Callithrix jacchus: one gene and its partner. The protein of the gene in region 1 purifies or fractionates together with the protein of each later gene. This does not show direct contact. Links are inferred from orthologs where the notes say so. Each region holds a gene or a part of one and is shown on either strand. Other genes may lie near its edges.

Region 1 (4,981 bases):
AGTCCTCCCATGTCAGGCCGGGGAACACTGGGGTAAGACTTCAACTAGGTTTTATGAAAGAATTCATATGCTAAAGGAAAAGGTGTTTCTGTGACTTAAGTAAGTGTATGGGATCCTTGCCATACTATCCTCTCTATGTGATGCTACCTTTTACAAATTCACTTCAATTCCTGTTTTCCTGAACAGAATCCCAAATGAATCTGACTGCTTTGTAATATTATCTATAATCTGTACCAGGAAAGTTTTAATATGTATATATATAGTATTATTTATTTTTTTGTCATCTAATTTTTAAAAAATATAAATCTGACTTATTTGTTTTATATTGAATGGTTAGAGTATTCCAGATGGTACCTTTGCATGTGTTTATAATATCTATATTATAGAACTTTGACTAGTGCTTTACTTTTGTGCAGTAAGGCTTACTAGTCCACAGCTCTTCTGTTTCCCCTATTATGTGGCATCTGAGACTTAGGGACTCTTTACTTTAGAAAAGTATGCACTTTATATGTAACTATACTTCTGCTGGTAATCTTAGGTCTCTTCATACTAGAGTAAGCTCCATGGGAAGGCCAGTTGGACAAGTAGAAAAGATAACTGTGGCTTCTTCCTCCTAGTTCTCAGTGTACTAAATATAGTGAATACTTGCCAAGGCATTACATATCTTTAAGATTATTTTTCTTAACACTGGAAATATTATACTGAATTTCTTGCTTTTTGGTGGAAGGGTTGTTCAGCACTCAGTCTTCTTTTAAGAAAGTCTTAGTTTTCATTTTTATTCATTAAACCCTTTGCCCCTGAAAAAAAAAAAACCACATGAAGTTATTAAATGAAAAGTTAAAATCATTTATTGAGAAATTCATGATTAGAATATATGTCTCCATTTATTGACATGTTGAGGTAGGAATAAGTTGCAACTTCTTATGTAAATAAATTTTAGCTTCCTATTTAAAGAACAGTGGCTTATGGGTGACTGAGCTGAGAATAATGTACATTTTAAAGTTTGGTATTACTGAGCATTAAAAAAATTATAACTATAATTTTTAGAAATAAGGTTAGGACTTTAAATTACCCTTTCCTATGTTTTTCATAAGAAAAGGTAACAGATTTTAGTTTGTATGTTAAAGTAACAAAGTTCATATATCCCAGTGAGGAATATTTTTAAAAACTACCAACTTTATTATTATTTTTTAAAATCCTGGTATATATTGTCACAAAGGGAGACTCACATATTTTTGGGAAAAATACTACTTTATCTTTTTAATTCATTATTGCTTTCTCCACTATGCTTCTTTAGACGGAATACTCCTTATAAAACCCTGGAACCTGTTAAACCCCCAACAGTTCCTAATGACTATATGACGAGTCCTGCTAGACTTGGAAGTCAGCATAGTCCAGGCAGGACAGCATCTTTAAATCAGAGACCAAGGACACACAGGTAAGCCTTCAGGTTGAGTGTTTGAACATCTCTGAAGTGGGTGTTACTGACTGGTGTCAAACTCCTATGAAGGTGCTGAGTAAAGGTGAAGTGCCACCTCTAATGCTAATACCAAGTGTAAAAGTTGGTGGCATAATGTTATATGTGTTCCTGTAAGTTTGTGTTATAAGTTCTGCGTTGTGTTTTAGGATTTTAATAACATTCATTGTACTCTTAATGGATTGTTTGTATTTCCTCCTTTTAATAGCGGTACAGATATATATTTGGTTCAAGACTAAAGAATGTTTTAAAATGGTCTTTCAAAAAAGTTCAAGGCAAACCACTCAAATACTTTTGGAGAAAAGATTTAATATTATAGGAATTATACAACATGATTTAAACTTTCAGAGAATGAAGGAAAGAAGATTGAGCTTAAATCTGAGGGAGACTTTATTAAGAGAGTCAGTATACTAGAATATGTTATGTATTTATTATTTTTAAATGTCCTAAAAACTATCCAGTGGGTTTTAAAAGTTTTAGTTATGGGCCGGGCGCGGTGGCGCAAGCCTGTAATCCCAGCACTTTGGGAGGCCGAGGCGGGTGGATCAGGAGGTCAAGAGATCGAGACCATCCTGGTCAACATGGTGAAACCCCGTCTCTACTAAAAATACAAAAAATTAGCTGGGCATGGTGGCACGTGCCTGTAATCCCAGCTACTCGGGAGGCTGAGGCAGGAGAATTGCCTGAATCCAGGAGGCAGAGGTTGCGGTGAGCCGAGATCGCGCCATTGCACTCCAGCGTGGGTAACAAGAGCGAAACTCCGTCTCAAAAAAAAAAAAAAAAAAATTAGTTATGAAGCATAATAAGCATTCAGAAAAGTATCTACTTTATTAAGTATCAGCTTGATGGATGGGCACACACTGATATAACCATCACCCAGATCAGAAAATGGAACATTACCAGCAACCCAGAAGCCCCCTCATGCTCCTTCCCAGTTATCGCATTGACTTTCTTCCCCCAAGATGTAGCCACTTCAATTTTTGAGTGCTTTATAAAACCAGATAAATTTATTATATACCCTAATTTATTTTATTCTTCAGTTTTCTCTCTCACTTAATAACTTGGGCAGAGAACCTCTCTTTTACCTTCACTCTTAGGTTGGTAAATGAGAGAGAACTTATGAAAATGATTTATGGGAATTCCACTAAATAGGGTATATCAAGATGCGAGATGCTAGGTAAGCGATATTTATTACTGTTGCTACTGTTAGTAAACAAATTGTTAAGTTGATAGCTGCAAATTCTGTATCAGGTCAGGTTCATTGAGGAACAAAATTTTTCTCTTTGTTGTTCATGAACTATTGGATCAAAGTATGGTTTTTCTCTATAGTGGAAGCATAGTTCAATCATATTCAACAAGCAGTTATTAAGTGTTGTTCATTAGATGTTAGGCTTATTTCCCAATAAGGTATATTTCTTTTTTCAAGAGCTCATTCTGTTATAACGGGAATCAGCAAACTTTTTTCTTTGAAGGGCCAGATTGTCAATATTTTAGGATTTGTGGGCCATATGGTTTCTGATGCAATTACTCAGATCTGTCATTGTAGCACAAAAGCAGCCATTGACAATACGTAAATGAATGTGGCTGTGTTCCAGTAAAACTTTATTTATAGCACTGAGATTCTAATTTCATGTAATTTTAATGTGTTACAAAATATTATTTCTCTTGATTTTTTTAACTATTAAAAAATTAAAAAACATGTTTTGCTCACAGGTAGTAAAAATTGGGCAGTGGACCAATTTTAGCCCATAGGCTGTAACTTGCCAAGCCCTTGTTGGAAAAAAGGCAGCTTCAGACACTGTGTTCATGACTGCATTGTTCACTGCTCTTCAAAGCGGGTTTTGAATAAACACTTGTTAACTCATTGTACTGTAAGATTTTGTTGGTGATAAATATTTCAACAGAGATGGTTTTAAGTACTATGTTTTTATTATATTGGTTCCAGATAGGTTGAGAAGTGGAACCATTTCAAATATTAAGATTAAGATTTGTGATGAATAGTTAAAAATTTTCTACACACAGACACACACACGCGCCCCTCTGCTTCCTTCCTGCCCTCCCTCGGGTTCTGCATTCCCAGAGTCAGCCAGTCTTGGGTTGAAAATACATTATTCATGGGATGCCGAACCTGTGGATATGGAACACCAACTTTTCATATCCACTGGTTCTGCAGAGCCAGCTGCAGGACTTTAACATCCATGGGTTTTGGTATCCAAGCGGGTTCTTGGAATCGATTCTCCAAGGATACTGAGGGATGACTATATGGCATAAAAGGAGTATTTAGTGGCCTTGGGTGATTACAGCTTTTTAAAAATATGTCTCTAGAATTGCTTTTTCACAATGTTTTTATTTTTTTTCCAGTGGAAGTAGTGGAGGAAGTGGAAGTCGAGAAAACAGTGGTAGCAGTAGTATTGGCATTCCCATTGCTGTGCCTACACCTTCGCCACCCACTATTGGACCAGGTGTGTTATTTATTAATCTATGTTTAACACATGATAGTATTTATGAGTTTTATTCTGGAAGGCTGAAATAAATTAGTCATATTGAGTAAAATTATTAAATTTGTGATTGTTGCTAGAACAAAGGCTGATAACAAAGTTATAAATATTTTTAGATTGCTTTTGACAGAGTCTTTAGGTTTTCACCAGCTGTTTCTCCTTATATATGGTGCATATTAAGTAGTTTTGTTAAACAACTTTTTGTTGGCCATTTTGCTTTAGAAATATATTTATTCCTCAGTGTCCATGGGGTGATGGGTTTCAGGGTTCCCTGTGGATACCAAAATGCATAGATGCTCAAGTCCTTTCTATAAACTGGTGTAGTGTTTGTATATAACCTACACACTTTCTTTCATATTCTTTAAATCATCTCTAGGTTACTTATAATACCTAATACAATATAAGTGCTAATTAAATAGTTATACTGTATTGTTTAGGGAATAGCGACAAGAAAAATAAGTCTGCACATGTTCAGTACAGATGGAGCCATCCTCTTTTTTCCCCCCGAAATCTTTTCAATCTATAGTTGGTTGAATCCAGCAATGAGGGAACCCATGGATATGGAGGGCTGACTGTATTTGCCTAGTGCACTAGTCAACAATGATAGTTATTATTTCAAGAGCAAAGCAGTATTATACGATACTCCAACTGGAGAATCAGTGTTTATAAAGGTGAATTATGTTTCTAAGAGTTGCCTTGCAGGGCACTATATACTCTGGTGTTTGCTTATTTTGTGACTTTACTACATTTATCTATGATATTCAGTATATATTTCAGTAAAATGCAATAAATGTAAAATAAGATTAAAATAGGAAAGTTATTTTACTTTTTAGAAAGTATAAAAATTTAAGAACTCCCTGGAGAGCATTAAATTAGCCCTTTGATTTTTAGTAAATGAAATGGAGACTTTTTATATTGTTAAAAATGTATATTTTAAAATTATGATAACGAAAAATGTTGGGAAAAAAATTCTTAGCTTTTTGAGCATATTTTTAAAAAAGGAGAA
Region 2 (4,981 bases), on another chromosome or scaffold:
GATTTTATTTCTCCTTTGCTTATGAAGCTTAGTTTGGCTGGATATGAAATTCTAGGTTGAAAGTTCTTTTCTTTAAGGATGTTGAATATTGACCCCCACTCTCTTCTGGCTTGTAGGGTTTATGAGGAGAGATCCACTGTGAGTCTGATGGGCTTCCCTTTGTGGGTAACCTGACCTTTCTCTCTGGCTGCCCTTAGCATTTTTTCCTTCATTTCAACCCCGGTGAATCTGATGACTATGTGCCTTGGGGTTGCTCTTCTTGAGGAATATCTTTGTGGTGTTCTCTGTATTTCCTGGACTTGAATGCTGGCCTGCCTTGCTAGGTTGGGTAAGTTCTTCTGGATAATATTCTGAAGAGTGTTTTTCAGCTTGGATTCATTCTCTCTGTCACATTCAGGTGTACTACACCTATTAATCATAGATTAGGTCTTTTCACATAACCCCATATTTCTTGGAGGCTTCGTTCATTTCTTTTCACTCCTTTTTCTCTAATCTTGCCATCTCATTTTATTTCATTGAGTTAATATTCAGTCTCTGATATCCTTTCTTCTGCTTGGTCGATTTGGCTTTTGAACTTGCATATGCTTCACAAAGTTCTTGTGTTGTGTTTTTCAGCTCCATTAAGTCATTTATATTCTTCTCTAAGCTGTTTATTCTCGTTAGCATTTTGTCAAAGCTTTTTTCAAGGTTCTTAGTTTCTTTGCATTGAGTTAGATAGAACATGTTCTTTTAGCTCAGAGAAGTTTTTTATTACCCACCTTCTGAAGCCTGTTTCTGTCACTTCATCAGACTCATTCTCCATCCAGCTTTGTTCCTTTGCTGGTGATGAGTTGTGATCCCATGGAGGAGAGACATTCTGGTTTTGGTATTTTCATCCTTTTTGCACTGGTTTCTTCCCATCTTTGTGGATTTATCTACCTGTGGTCTTTGTAGTTGATGACTTTCGGATGGGGTCTCTAAGTGGACATCCTTTTTGTTGATGATGAAGTTATTTCTTTCTGTTTTTTAGTTTTCCTTCTAACAGTCAGGCTCCTCTGCTATAAGACTGCTAGAGGTCACTCCAGACCCTGCTTGCCTGGGGATCACCTGTGGTGGCTGCAGAACTGTAAGGGTTGCTGCCAGTTTCTTCTTCTGTTATCTTTGTCCCAGAAGGATACCTGCCAGATGTCAGCCTGAGCTCTCCATTATGAGGTGTCTCTTTGGATATACAGGTTCAGGGAGCTGCTTGAGGAGACAGTCTGTTTCTTATAGGAGCTCAAATGCTGAGCTGTGATCTCCGTTGTTCTCTTCAGAGCTTCTGTACAAGTATATTTAAGTCTGCTGCAGCAGAACTCATAACCACCTTTTTACCCAGGTGCTCTGTCATGGTAAGATGGGGCTTTGTAGTTCCTGTCATGCTGCTGCATTTTTTCAGAGCTGCCCTGCCCAGCATGGTGGTAGTCTAGCCACAGTCTGCCAGCAGAGGCATTCCTGAGCTGCCACGGGCTCTGCCCAGCAGCTGTGTGAACTTCCTTGCTGTTTTGTTTATAGAGGTATAGTTAGAACTGCATTGGTAATGGCAGACTGCCTCTGTAGTGGCGGGCTGCCTCGGTAGTGGTGAGCTGCCTCAGTAGTGGAGGACTGCCTCAGTAATGGCGGATGCCCTTTCCCCAACAGAGCTGGACCATCTGGGGTCCAGCTGCGCTTGCTGCGAAGCGCTCAATCCAGAGCACTTCAGAATACTGGTCTTTGTGGGGGTGGGACCCGCCTAGTCAGATCACCTGGCTCCGTTTCAGCCCCCCCCTCTTTTTTTTTCAGTTGAATGGGCATTTCTGTCTTCCAGTCATTTCAGGCGCCAGTTGAAACGGTCACCCAGATTTGTGTGAGTTTTTCTGTGGAGACCCACTGCACCAGCTGAAACAGCCATGCTGGAAACTCATGGCACTTTTCAGCCAGGGAATCTCCTGGTCTGTGGGCAGTAATAACTCATTTGGAAATGTGGTGTTTACCCACTCTCTGCGTTGTTCTCGCTGGGAACTACACTCCAGAGCTGTTCCTATTTGGCCATCTTGGATCCGCCCCACCCCTTTTCTTTTTTTATAATTGCCCTTCAGTTTGATTCATTTATCTTGAAATGTTAAGCAACCACAGCTGTAGACCTTAATCTGTGGTTCATATCAAGCAATTCAACTTTTTCTTATAATGTTATGACATTTTTGTACTTGAGAGTACTTCCAGCGTCACTAAATGAGGCCCACGGTGTATTCAAGGTTTGCGGTATTGCATGCAACATGATGAAAAATACAAAAGAACCATGAGAGATTACTTCCTACTCTCATAGGCAATTTAGTGGAGAGAGAACTGCTCAAACAGCATTTTAAGGAAATACAACACTAGAACTAACTGCAGTATCAACAGAGGGTGGTTATAAAATTATTACAGTAATACAGAATTACTACATTTAAATTTATTGTTAAGATATAGTACTATTTGGTATTATTAAGTTGGCAAAAACCGCAATTACATTTGCGCCAACCTGATAACATCTTTACATTTCTTTATATTTCTCTTGACTATGAATGGCACTGTGTTTGTGTTTTGTGTGTAAATTTTGATAAATTTTAACTTTTTATAATGGATTTCTATATATTTTATGGTAGTAAATTATAAAACACTAGTATTTACATATATTTTATGCATTCATAACATATATTTAAAATAATGTTAAGGCTATGTGGTTCATCTGCAAGTTTTGTCAAATTGTCTCAAGTCTCCAAAATTTTAAATATCTTTATTGGAAAAAAATCCACGTATGAGTGAACTAGCACAGTTGATGTTGATCAAGGGTCAATTGTAGTTCCAAATAAATGCCAAATTCCAACAGGACACCAGTTTTAATGTTACATTGTTCAGTGTTTATCTCTGATCACAAAGTATCTGAGGCAGATACCATTTTAGATTTCTACTGCTTGCAAAGATAAAAACTCAGTGCTCTGGATATTAAATTTTATGATATATGTTTCATTTTTGCTTAGGTAAATATGCTGAAGATATATTTGGAGAATTATTTAATGAAGCACATAGTTTTTCCTTCAGAGTCAACTCATTACAAGAACGTGTGGACCGTTTATCTGTTAGTGTTACACAGCTTGATCCAAAGGAAGAAGAATGTAAGCTTATTAATATTGTATTTTTTTCTGTGTGTATATTTTAAGTTAGATGAGATGAATGATATATTTAAGAACAATATTGTGAGTTTATTCCAGATCTTACCCATGTTCTGTGGTGTACATATTGTAATAAATCAGTTAATTATCTAAAAATGCCATCAGTATTAGTGTCCTGGCTTTTCTATTTTAAATATCTTCTTTTTGTACACTAAACAGCTCCTAATTTTTTTAACATAAAAAAGATGTTTTAATCAGATGTTTTCCTCCATTTTCTTTATCTTTTCTCCCTTGTAATTTATTTGTACACTTTTGTCTTAGAAATAAAAATTATTAGAAAATTACCTGAAATCTTTAGGTTTGATTTTACAAGAATGTAACCACTTTTAAATGCTTTTGTATGTGCATATTGCTAAAGTCTTATTAATTATTTAACCGAATGCAACTTCCTACTTTAAATGAACATTTCAAAAACAAATTGCCAGTTAGGGTGTAAGCATTCTATACCAAGATATTAAATCAGGAATAATCAGGTAAAAAAGCCACTCTGTAGGCTAAAATACTTGTAGAAACTTTCGTGGTAAAAATCATGTTTTATGCCTTGATAGAATACATTGAATGCCAATGTTTCCCAAATGTGTCTTTTTCTTTGTTTTACAAAAAGAAATGCAGTACTAAGAACATAATTTGCACTTATCTACCACAGAGAATTGCTTAGTGGAATTTCTTACAACACTCCCTTCAAAATATTTTTGTTGCATTAAATAGTACAAATGCAAATTATATAATCTAATTTTTAGTATAAATGCAGATTATATAATAGATCTAAACTTTAACAATAAAAATATTAAAGGATGTCACTGGAAAGAACAAAAAAATACAATGTTATAATGAATGTCTCAGTGATGGAACCAGCTCCTTTTGAAATAATCTAATGTGTAAATAAGGAGAGGCAAATACTTAGCACACTAGATTTCTACTGCTTGCAAAAATAAAAACTCAGAGCTCTGGATACAAGAAAAAAATGAAATAATACTTTAAAAATAGCTTTATTAAGATATATTTAACAACCTACGTATACCTTGCATCCATTTAAAGTTGAAGTGTACAATTTTTTATTATATTCAATAGTTATGCAGCCTTCACCACAATGAATTTTAGAATATTTGTATCACTCCAGAAAGAAGTCCTGTACTCATTAGCAGTCACTCTATTTCCCCTTCAGCTCAACCCTTAGCAATCGCTGATGTTTCTGTCTATATGGATTTGCCTGTACTGTATATTTCATATGAAATATGTGGTCTTTTATGACTGGCTTCTTTTACCATAATGTTTTCAAGGTTCATCCATGTACATATATTTATATTATATTTCCCTGATGGCTAATGATGTTGAGCATCTTTTCATGTGCTTATAGGCCATTTGTATATCTTCTTTGGATAAATGTCTATTTAGTTCCTTTGCCCATTGATATTAGCGTTTTTATTTTTGAGTTGTTAGAATTCTGTCTATATTCTGGATTTAAGTCCTTTGTCAAATATATGATTTGCAAATATTTTCTCCCATTCTTTAGGTTGTCTTTCTTGGTGGTATCCTTCAAAACATGTGCATATATTAATACATTAATTGCATCTCATGGAATTCTTGAAATGAAATCGTAGTTAGAGGTGAAAAATATTTTATGGTCATCTTTTCAAATACATAATTTATAGCCAAAATTTATTTTTTAGATAACTCAAATATTTATAACTTAAATATAAACTTATGCCAGCAAATAATACAGAAATACATAGGCTGTTCTCATATGTAACAGAAATAAAAATCAACATGTAGTT

What was found.
Region 2: the proteins of ABI1 (region 1) and WASF1 purify together in Homo sapiens (affinity purification with mass spectrometry; 6 studies listed by BioGRID and IntAct, with this or other methods). This does not show direct contact. The link is inferred for Callithrix jacchus from reciprocal best matches to the Homo sapiens genes ABI1 and WASF1.

Annotation. Positions count from the first base shown.
Region 1 is NC_133508.1:27,143,766-27,148,746, reverse strand, and holds part of ABI1 (abl interactor 1), read left to right. Parts: coding exon 1-32; intron 33-1,297; coding exon 1,298-1,438; intron 1,439-3,838; coding exon 3,839-3,939; intron 3,940-4,981. UniProt on the Homo sapiens protein: May act in negative regulation of cell growth and transformation by interacting with nonreceptor tyrosine kinases ABL1 and/or ABL2. May play a role in regulation of EGF-induced Erk pathway activation. Involved in cytoskeletal reorganization and EGFR signaling.
Region 2 is NC_133505.1:116,282,968-116,287,948, reverse strand, and holds part of WASF1 (actin-binding protein WASF1), read left to right. Parts: intron 1-3,014; coding exon 3,015-3,149; intron 3,150-4,981.